2 linked regions of the Bombyx mori genome follow. The protein of the gene in region 1 interacts with the protein of each later gene in a biochemical or structural test. Links are inferred from orthologs where the notes say so. Each region holds a gene or a part of one and is shown in the gene's direction. Other genes may lie near its edges.

What was found.
Region 2: the proteins of ESC (region 1) and nuclear inhibitor of protein phosphatase 1 form a complex in vitro, tested with the Homo sapiens proteins (2 studies listed by BioGRID). The link is inferred for Bombyx mori from reciprocal best matches to the Homo sapiens genes EED and PPP1R8.

The regions. Positions count from the first base shown.
Region 1 is NC_085112.1:13,493,875-13,498,599, forward strand, and holds the end of ESC (extra sex combs), read left to right. Parts: coding exon 1-150; intron 151-1,199; coding exon 1,200-1,316; intron 1,317-2,073; coding exon 2,074-2,163; downstream 2,164-4,725. UniProt on the Homo sapiens protein: Polycomb group (PcG) protein. Component of the PRC2/EED-EZH2 complex, which methylates 'Lys-9' and 'Lys-27' of histone H3, leading to transcriptional repression of the affected target gene.
Region 2 is NC_085126.1:4,084,948-4,090,509, forward strand, and holds part of nuclear inhibitor of protein phosphatase 1, read left to right. Parts: intron 1-73; coding exon 74-176; intron 177-716; coding exon 717-800; intron 801-1,564; coding exon 1,565-1,775; intron 1,776-3,245; coding exon 3,246-3,348; intron 3,349-5,562. UniProt on the Homo sapiens protein: Inhibitor subunit of the major nuclear protein phosphatase-1 (PP-1). It has RNA-binding activity but does not cleave RNA and may target PP-1 to RNA-associated substrates. May also be involved in pre-mRNA splicing.

The DNA.
Region 1 (4,725 bases):
TGTGAAAACGCTATAATCTGCTGGAAGCCGGGCCGACTTGAGGACACGGAGCTGCGGCCCGGGGACAACTCCGTCACCATGGTGCATCGCTTCGACTACAAAGAGTGTGAAATATGGTTTATACGATTCGCTGTTGACTATAGTCAAAGGGTAAGCACATTCTCTAGTAGATTGCGTTTGGATATTTTAGAAAATAATATTTTTCTCTTTCTCTGTTATTTTATGGAGTTGAATCTTACAATTGAATAAATTCATTGCCCCAATTAATACTTTAAACCTAAATATAACAATGTAATCACCATACTCGTCGAACTCGACAAAGAGTTCGCCGTGCAACCTAACCCATGAATCAGCTCGCTGAGTTGCTCGCCGGATCTTCTCAGCGGGTCGCGATTCCGATCCGGTAGTAGATTCACGATTCGCGAAGCAGCTACTCTTGAGCTGTTAGGTCTCCTTCGGAGGCGCTCGGGTAGCTGTTAGCAAATCCCACCCCTCCTGGCTGAGCCTTTGCTCGCCCACCTGTCCTGGTGAAACTGGAAAGACCTCCGGGCCACCAGTAATCCTTCAATCATAAAAAAAAAAAACAATGTAATAAATAAAACGCCTTGAACATGACATGTCATTTCAACTTCGTAGCCAGTCACCGTCAACGTCTTAGACAAGTCCTTACGGATCCATCAGATCCATTAAACTCAGTACTACACGCCTTCAGCTCTAACACTAGCAGCAGGCTTAGCGATCTGGGGGTAGATTCTGTGAAGCACTACACTTGCTAGGGTTAATTGTTAGCATATTCTCTCAGGAAGTCGTCGTCAGGTTTGAAGTTGTGGCCTAAAGGATAAGACGTCCGGTGCATTCGTATCTTGGAATGCAACAATGTTCGAACGCTTTCTACCGTGAAGCAGTAATGCGTCCCGATTTGAAGGGTGGGGCAGCCATTGTAACTATACTGAGACCTTAGAACCCAGGCGCATTTACGTTGTAGATGTCTATAGGCTCCAGTAACTACTTAACACCAGGTGGGCTGTGAGCTCGTCCACCCAGCTAAGCAATAAAATGAAAAAGGCAAAGCCCAAGAGCTCATCTACCAGTCCGAGCATAGTTAGAATAGCCCCTTCGGCTATCAGCAAATAGGTAGGAGAGAAAAGGCAATTTTTTACGAACATTAATAATGAAATCATCAATGTATTTGATTACAGGTGATAGCTCTAGGTAATCAGTGCGGTAAGACCATGGTGTGGGAACTGGGGAACGTGGCTGGAGGCTCCCGAGTCTCGCAGCTCGTGCATCCGAGATGCGTTGCTGCGGTCAGACAGGTGAGGGGCACGCTGTTTTACTTTGTGAGTCGTCGTGGCCTAAAGGATAAGACGTCCGCTGCGTTCGTATCTAGCGATGTAACTGTGTTTGAATCCCGCAGGCAAGTACCAATTTTTCTAATGAAATACGTAGGTACTTAACAAATGTTCACAATTGACTTCCACGATGAAGGAATAACATCGTGTAATAAAAATCCAACCCCCTAAATTTTTTATTTGCGTAATTACTGGTGGTAGGACCTCTAGTGAGTCCGCGCGGGTGAGTACCACCACTCTATTTCTACCGTGAAGCAGTAATGCGTTTCGGTTTGACGAGTGGGGCAGCCATTGTAACTATACTGAGACCTTAGAGCTTATATCTCAAGGTCGGTCGCAGCATTTACGTTGTAGGTTTCTATGACCTCCGGTAACCACCTAACACCAGGTGGGCCATGAACTCGTCCACCCATCTAAACCATAAAAAAAATTAGTTATGACGTTTAAATATGTATATAGTTAAATACATAATCAACACCCAGACAAATCAGTAATTACGCAAATTATAATTATGCGGGTCTGATTTTTACTACACGATGTTATTCCTTCACCGTGGAAGTCAATCGTAAACTTTTTTCAAGTACATACATTTCTTTAGAAAAATTGGTACCAGCCTGTTTATCAATCTCTGGTAATCTCATAACACAGGAAATCCTAAATTGGTGTCCGATGACTGCCTAAATTTGTTCCCAGTTATTTATTTATTATTTTCCATTTCCAGGTAACTCTCTCACGCAACGGCAAGATCCTACTGACGTGTTGCGACGACGGCACCATCTGGCGGTGGGACCGGGTCTCCGCCAGCAACTGACGATAACTCCCAGTACATCTGTGCAGATGTACTAAGTTAAATTTTAAAAATAAATCACTTCTATGTTACTTGTTCTGTTAATTCTCCAAATTACCTGATAACATTATACAATGTGTCCGTGCACCAGTTTCGGAGGCTTAAGGGGGTAAATTATGGGGATTTTTATCGACAAATCACTATCCCAATTTTCCCTTGGCCCCTCCATACTAGAATGGCAGCCATTTTGTTTTTTTTTCTACTTTGCAGCTCAGGCGCCTGCACTGATTTAATCATTGCTATCGATGTAGACGTCTTAGGAAGACGAATGAGGTGTCATTTGTAAAGCTAACAATGTAGACAATCATTTTATTCAATATCTTTTTCATAAAATACCAAAAAAAGTATTAATAAAATGAAAATTATATTTTGTTATTGCATTTTTTTTCTTTTCTCATAATTCAGGATATTTTCATTAAAATAATCTTTACATCAAAGTCCTTCATGATAATTTTTATTAATATATACTTAATGCCGAAAGTATCTGCATTAATATTTATTTTAATAAATAAAAAAACCACACTTTTCAAACTTTTAGAACTTTAAAAAATAAAACGCAAATTTATTTCAAATATTTAATACAATGACCAACAATTAAATCTACGTAATTAACAAAACGAATCACAGGGGTTCAAGGTGTCATTTGTGTTCGCTACACTCGATTAATATAAATTAGGTACACGTAATCACATACACTCGAATTCTAGATTACTTCTAAACGTACCCGTGAACTAATCGCTAGACGTTGAGTGAAACTAGGGCTGAACGACAGCCTGTGCGGAACGGAATACTAAATATATGCGATGCTTTCATCTTATTGGTAGTAGGACCTCTTGTGAGTCCGCGCGGGTAGGCACCACCACCCTGCATATTTCTGCCGTGAAGCAGTAATGCGTTAACTGCGTTGACACTTAACAGCCCACCTGGTGTTAAGTGGTTACCGGAGCCCATAGACATCTACAACGTAAATGCCATCACCCACCTTGAGATAATATGAGTACTAAGTTCTCAGTATAGTACAACGGCTGCTCCACCCTTCAAACCGAAAGTCAATACTGTTTCACGGCAGAAATAGGCGAGACGATGATACCTACCCGTGCGGTCTCCAAAGGCACTCTACCACCAATAAGCAATGATTTACAAATTCGAACAAATTAAACCACAATCTGCAATCACGAACGCAGTTATTCAAAAATTTGTGTATTTCAAAACGAAAGAAATCAACGCCGGTAGAATTCTTCAAATACTATATGTAGGGTCATACACACATCCTTAATAACGTACGTGGCGTGTTACCTGGCTACGTAATGCAAGGTGTCATCTTCACCATTCCACGCATTGTTGACGACAGTCCAGGCGAACACAGTTCCACTTAGATAGCTATAATAAAACTGTATGTACCTACTGTATATTCTGTAAATATACAAGTGCGTGAGTTAATAACGACTTTCATTTACAACAACTGGGCTAACCCTAAACTATAAATAAGACTCATGATAAACCAATGGAAAATGGAATTACTATCCATCGCTCTCTAACCGTTCCGAACAGGTGACGTCAGCGCTAACCTGCTACACAAATCTATAAATCACAACTAACCACTATCAATGACTGTAATTGAATATTTACTCAACACTTTCATTTAATTCAGTCTTTAAAAACGTTACAATTAAACGAACAATAAATGTTTAGTAACAAAAAAAAATACACGATTTTTTTTTATCCTTTCTAAATTACATTTGTCATACATTTATTGTTTTTTATTTAATAAAAATATTGAGATTACAAAGTGACTAGACGATAAATTAATATTTAGTGACAAAACATCTATCACTAAAATGACATTGAGTCCGTTATAGTATCATTTTGATTCCGCTTTGGGTTATGTACACTTCGTTCTAAATTATGAATGTTTATACTGGATTCCATTTGACTTCATTATTTAACTTGTATGAGTTGTTTGGGTTCGATTACTGTGAAAAAAATATAATTGATTGTATTTTATTATATTTCATAATAAATGGATGTAAAATTCGCATCTCTATTAAATGTGGCCAGCACCAAATATTTCCTGAAAAGCTGTGCAATCTCTATTTTCGTTACTTGCTCGTGTAGAAAATGTTATATGATAGGTATTTATGATTATTATATGTTTTACATTTTTTTTAATCATACGCACAGTATGCGCTTGCCGAAATAATAATTTAACCGAAATCTAATTTATATTTGTTTATGTCTCTTTTTGATTGAGCGCCATTTTGAATTCGGTCTAATCTGTACCGACTGCACAGACTATATGATTACTATCTTTATAAATTTTATTGCCTTGCGATATGTTTCACATTGCATAGCAAATTCCCTTTTTTTGGGAGCAGGAGGCTAACCTCCTACGCCTCCTACGGTCGTCGTGGCCACGTGGCACTTGACGATGGAACAAACTGCTGCTTTGTATCAGATTAAACCAGCCAATTAATTTATTACCTACTGTACTGTTTTCATAATCCTTGAGAACGTCAAATTAAAACG
Region 2 (5,562 bases), on another chromosome or scaffold:
ACGATATGATTTATTCTGTTCATGGATTCTGAATTATGAAGTGTCTTTTAATTAATGTATCAATGGTTCACAGAGAACGCCCGACTGGGACATCGCGTGGTATAATGGAGGATCTCCCTAATACAGAAACTGAAGGAGCATTGCTCGGCCTGCCTGAAACACAAACCGAACTAGATGTAAGATTTTGTTCTTAGTATAATTTATGTAGAAAAGGGATCGCAGCGCATAAAATAAAAGTTATACTATTCCAAAATCTTCTATTATAATAGTAATTAATAATTAACACTAATTTTATTATGTCTTACTCATTTTTCAAACGTCTTCGCCATCTTCAAATTCTCTGTCATTCTATCTGTCATTCTCTTCTCCCTTTCTTTCCGTTTTCTCTCACTCACATCTTAACGCTCCGTTCCACACTCTTTTCATACGTTCCGTTCTTACCAATCCTACATTTATGTGTATTATTGAGTTAGATTTCGATTTGACTTCAATACTCCTTTCTCGATTTCATGCTTTGGAGCCCTTGTCGGTATGGCAATAAGCTTAGAATACTGCTACTAAGGAAATGTTATAGATATAGTATTTGGCGTTCATGAAGACCTATGCTCTTCCTCTAACCAATATGTGGTCTGTGGTCTAAAATTATAAACATAAAATATTTTATTGAACTTAGGTAGCTGTGTATTGTTAATGTATTTTTGTACAATGACTTACAGAACTTAACTGAATTCAACACAGCCCACAACAGAAGAATATCGATGCTTGGTATATCAACCGAAGATGGAACTGATGTTATCAAGGTGAATAGTATATTCTTGTAAAAAAGTGTATTTAACATTTTAATGTATATATTGCTGTAAATATGAAGATCGACTAGTGAGTCTTTCCATACATGGTTCCCAAAGTATTTTGTGGTTACCAAAATGATTGAGATGAAGTCCCAATTGTGTTCTGTAACAGTTGTTGCCACTTGAACGCATGATAGCTGTGCAGTGAAAATATAGTGGTGTCACCATCCACTATGTTCCTCTTAGTCCATGATACCCCCTTAGTATGATTAAAACAGTTCAGTAATTCAGACAAACATTTCTGTTATATATACCTAACCTATTATATAAGTAACTAGCAGTACCCGTCCACTTCGCTGGGAATTTAAAATTAATATTATTATTTCTCACCCCCACAAAGATTCTCATCATTAACGCCCCCGCAACTGGTGTAGGGAGTCCAACACTCATATAAATATTAGCCTATCCATTAAGTACATGTATTTTCTACGTGGATACCAAGTTTCAAGTTAATCGGATGCATGGTTCAGTAGTTATAACGGAACATCCGTAAAAACCACTGTAGATTTATATATTAGTATAGATACGACCTCTTAAATTTATCGAGAACATTCTGGGCAAGTCGAGTAGCTTCGATGTGTTTCCGGTATCTGACAATGATGGCGTTGTACTTCTCGATCTTTCTCGGCGTTACTAGTTCCTTTGATATACGTTTCGGCTATCCGGACGATAGATGGCGTTACTCTTACCGGCGTAACATTACTATCGTTTTTCAGCCGACAACCGGTACGAAGCGTACCGTTTCGATGCCGGTCGGTGTGCCGAAGAAGCAGAAAAGAAACGTGTCTTTCAACGAAGAAGTGGACATTATCAATCCCGAAGACATAGATCCGTCCATAGGCCGTTTCAGGAACTTGGTCAAGTCGACGATCGTGCCGAATGCGAACGCCGTACCTAAGAAGCTGAAGCTGCAGAGCGCCGAGGAAAGTAAGTCGTTCAAGTTATGGACTAGCTTGTCCTATACTATAATATTATAAAGAGGAAAAATTTGTTTGTTTGTTTGTCTTGAATAGGCTCCGAAACTACTGAACCGATTTGAAAAAATCTTTCACCGTTTGAAAGCTACACTATTCCCAAGTGACATAGGCTATAATCTTTTTTGAAAAAAATTTAGGTATCCTCACTAAAACCCCAATAATGTAATCCAAGGTGTAAAAAAAATACCTAAAATATTCTTTATATCGCGTGCTCTGCGAAAACTATTGATGATAGAATAAAAAAAATGTACTACGACTTTGTAGAACATATTATTATTTATAAAAAGTGTCGCGACAGCATATTATGTCTAACTATTATAATTATGCCGCAATAAGTGTTCTTTTATCTTAACAAAATGAAGCTTCAAATATCGTTGAAATTTTTGTTAAAGACCCGAGCGGAGCCGGAGCGGCCCGCCAGTCCTATATATACGTTAACACACTGACTGGCTGGTTGTCACCGGATAGTTGTCATACGATTCAATTGAGACCTCATGTCTTAAGGTGACAATATTCAGATTACGTCTATGAACTCTGGTCTCCCTTTAACATTTTGATTGCGATGTAGGTCACCGGTGCCCTACGCGGCGTACTGAAGTAATTATGTCGATTTCTATTAGTAAGCGCATCTGGATTGCCTAACTTTGCCTTCTTTTGTTTTTCTGGCCGTCTGGTGTAGTGGTACGTGACATGGTCACTACACAAGGGGGTCGCGGGTTCGAATCCCGCCAAGGGAAGATTTTTGTATGATAAATATAAAATGTATTTTCCTATGGATGTATATTAAAAAATATATATGTATAATAAAAATCTTACATTTATTTCCGTTATCTGGTACCTGTAACACAAGTTCTATATGAACTTAGTACGGGACCAGTGAACGTGGCGTGATTGTTTATAAAAAAAAAGTATGGTTTACTCTTTTAGGTCTCTAGAAATATATTCAGTCTCAGTATCTTAGGATTCGTCTTTGCCAGATTCTAACTAGATATTCCGGCGTCTTAGTAAGAAGATCGAAGAGAGAAATCGACATAATTACTACTTCAGTGCGCCGCGTAGGGCACCGGTGACCTACATCGCAATCAAAATGTTAAAGGAAGACCGGAGCCCATAGACGTAATCTGAATGTTGTCACCTTAAGACATGAGGTCTTAATTGTATCGTATAAGGACTTTCACGCCAGATGTACTGTTAAAAGTGAGACCTTAGAACTTATATCTCGAGGTGGGTGGCGGCGTTTACGTTGTAGATGTCTATGGAGTCCGGTAACCACTTAACACCAGGTGGGCCGTGAGCTTGTCCAACCATCTAAGCAATAAAAAAAGGATGGAGGAGGATGGAGCCACTAGAGGGCCAAAACTGAACTTAAATGGGCTCAGACAAAATGATTTTAATATTGACTTGTTAATATGTATTGCAGATCAACATCACCACTCGTTGAGGCTGCAGGAGATATCTCGGGGAGGGAATCTGTACTCGGATTTGCCCGCACCGAGCTCACATCTAAGTTTGATCGGGGCTAGGTATGTATTAATATTCATTATTGAGCAATGAGAAATTACCCCGATCTATTAACGGTGCTTTTAGGTACCACAAGCACCGGTCACCGTCCTCGCCGAACCTGTCGCATGCGACGAAGGGCTCGACGAGCGAATTAACCCATAGACACAGCCCACTGAGTTTCTCGCCGGATCTTCTCAGTGGGTCGCGTTTCCGATCCGGTGGTAGATTCTGCGAAGCACTGCTCTTACTGGGGCCAGTGTTAGCAACATTCCCGATTTGAGCCCCGTGAGCTCACCTACACACGTTTGGGTGAAGCTGAAATAGCCTATCAGCATAGGTAGGTTTTTTTTTTTTCGTTAATATTATATTGACATGATAAATTAGCTTGTATTCATAGATGCGATTTGTTAAAATAGTTTTGTAATTATAACCAAGAACATATTTGGTTTATAGTTTAATATTTAAACAACCGAATGTACTGCAATATTTATATATAATATGTATATATATATATTTCCATCCCAGAGCGCATGTTACGTCCTATATGGCGGTTTTTACCGATGATATTGCATCCGACCGACTTATTGCGTCCTGTATATGGACGCAAGATTGTCCATTTCTCAAATTCAGCCAGAGGTAGCCGAAAGATCCGTACAATGCGTGGGTAAAATATTGGCATGGACGTTATTTTGTCACCGGATTGATTCTCACCGTATTTCTTAGTTCCGCTGTTTGGCACGCGAATTTTGGAGGTCGCTTCTCCGCGGCGTATATCGGTAGCGTATATTGGATATTTTTTTTACGTAAATTTCACCGATAATGTGACTTCTGTATATAAAAAAATTTCAATTCAAGTTTTTATCAATTCCAATTTGTGGTTTAATTACGTCACACAAAATGACCCCGTTCCAAGAGAAACGCGGGAACAACAGGGGTGAGGGGGCGGAGTTAGAATGCGTCATGCAAGCGCCGTGATTTTGTTTGCAATTCTGTTCCGGCCGGCGCGGGCGCAACGACGACTATAGTGTGAATATCAGTATATTAGAGAATGTATAATAATACTTTTTATCAACGAAACACGTGAGCGGAGCCGCGGATGAAAACTAGTGTTACTTACATACGCATTACAGAAGTTTATTCAGTTATAGCCAATGATAAAATAAACTAGACTTTAATTAGTCGTTTTTAAATAATTCTTATTCTTAATCGTAATTGATATGCCAGTCTCCTTTCATGTTCAATTTTCGCAATTTTTTTGTTTTTGTTTTGTACACACTTATTATTTAATTATGAGTATTGTTTTTTGAATTATATAATTATGGTTTTAATTGTACTTAATTTATAAAAATAAATAATAGTTTAAAAAAACTAAAAAACACGCTTTATATAAAATTCAACTAAAAAATAGAAAATAAATTTTTATAAATTTAAATTCAAAATAGTGTAAAAAAATACATATTTCATTGTAAAAAAAGCGTGGTGTGCATGGTGTTATTAGTTATAAACATATTTCTGATAGATATGAGTAGAAGAATTATTATTTCAATAATATCTTAAAAAGCACCTCACGCTTTTCTTACAATAAAATATTTTTTTTTTCATTCATTCATTCATTTTTTAGTTGAATTTCAATTTTTTCAATTTTTTTTTCCAATTTTGAATTGTCATCGGTCCTCGATAAATCTATAGAGTTTGAATGAAATCTGGCCGTTTAAAGTGGGTCAAAATCGCGTCTAAAGTAGTCAGTTACAAACATACATACAAGTGAAGTTAATATAAAGCGTGTAATAAAACTTGATAGTATTGTCGAAAAAATTGTTTTATTTCGTGTTCATAGCTAAATTTATAAAAATGACACTCATATAAATAATGTACTCACACATAAACCTAATTGGAAGAAAGCTGAGAAAGATGAGAGAAAGATGTTTAATCTCGTCTAGAGGAAACCCGAAGGTGGATAAGTTATTTAGAGGGATTCGCGCCCTTTCACCAAGCGTACTGGCAACTAGCTAGGACCCTCAAATCGGAAACGATCGCCAATATACATTCCTTCGTAAGCCTCTCAGGCCAACCCTCGGCTTTTGATAACGATGAAAAGGTAGTGTTATTAGCCGATGCTCTGCAGGAGCAGTGCACCGTCAGTGCTCAAGCCGTGGACCCGAACACACCGAGTTAATTGCTAGAGAGGTCGAGCCCAGTGCTTCCCAAAAACCCTCAGACGCGTTACCCCACAT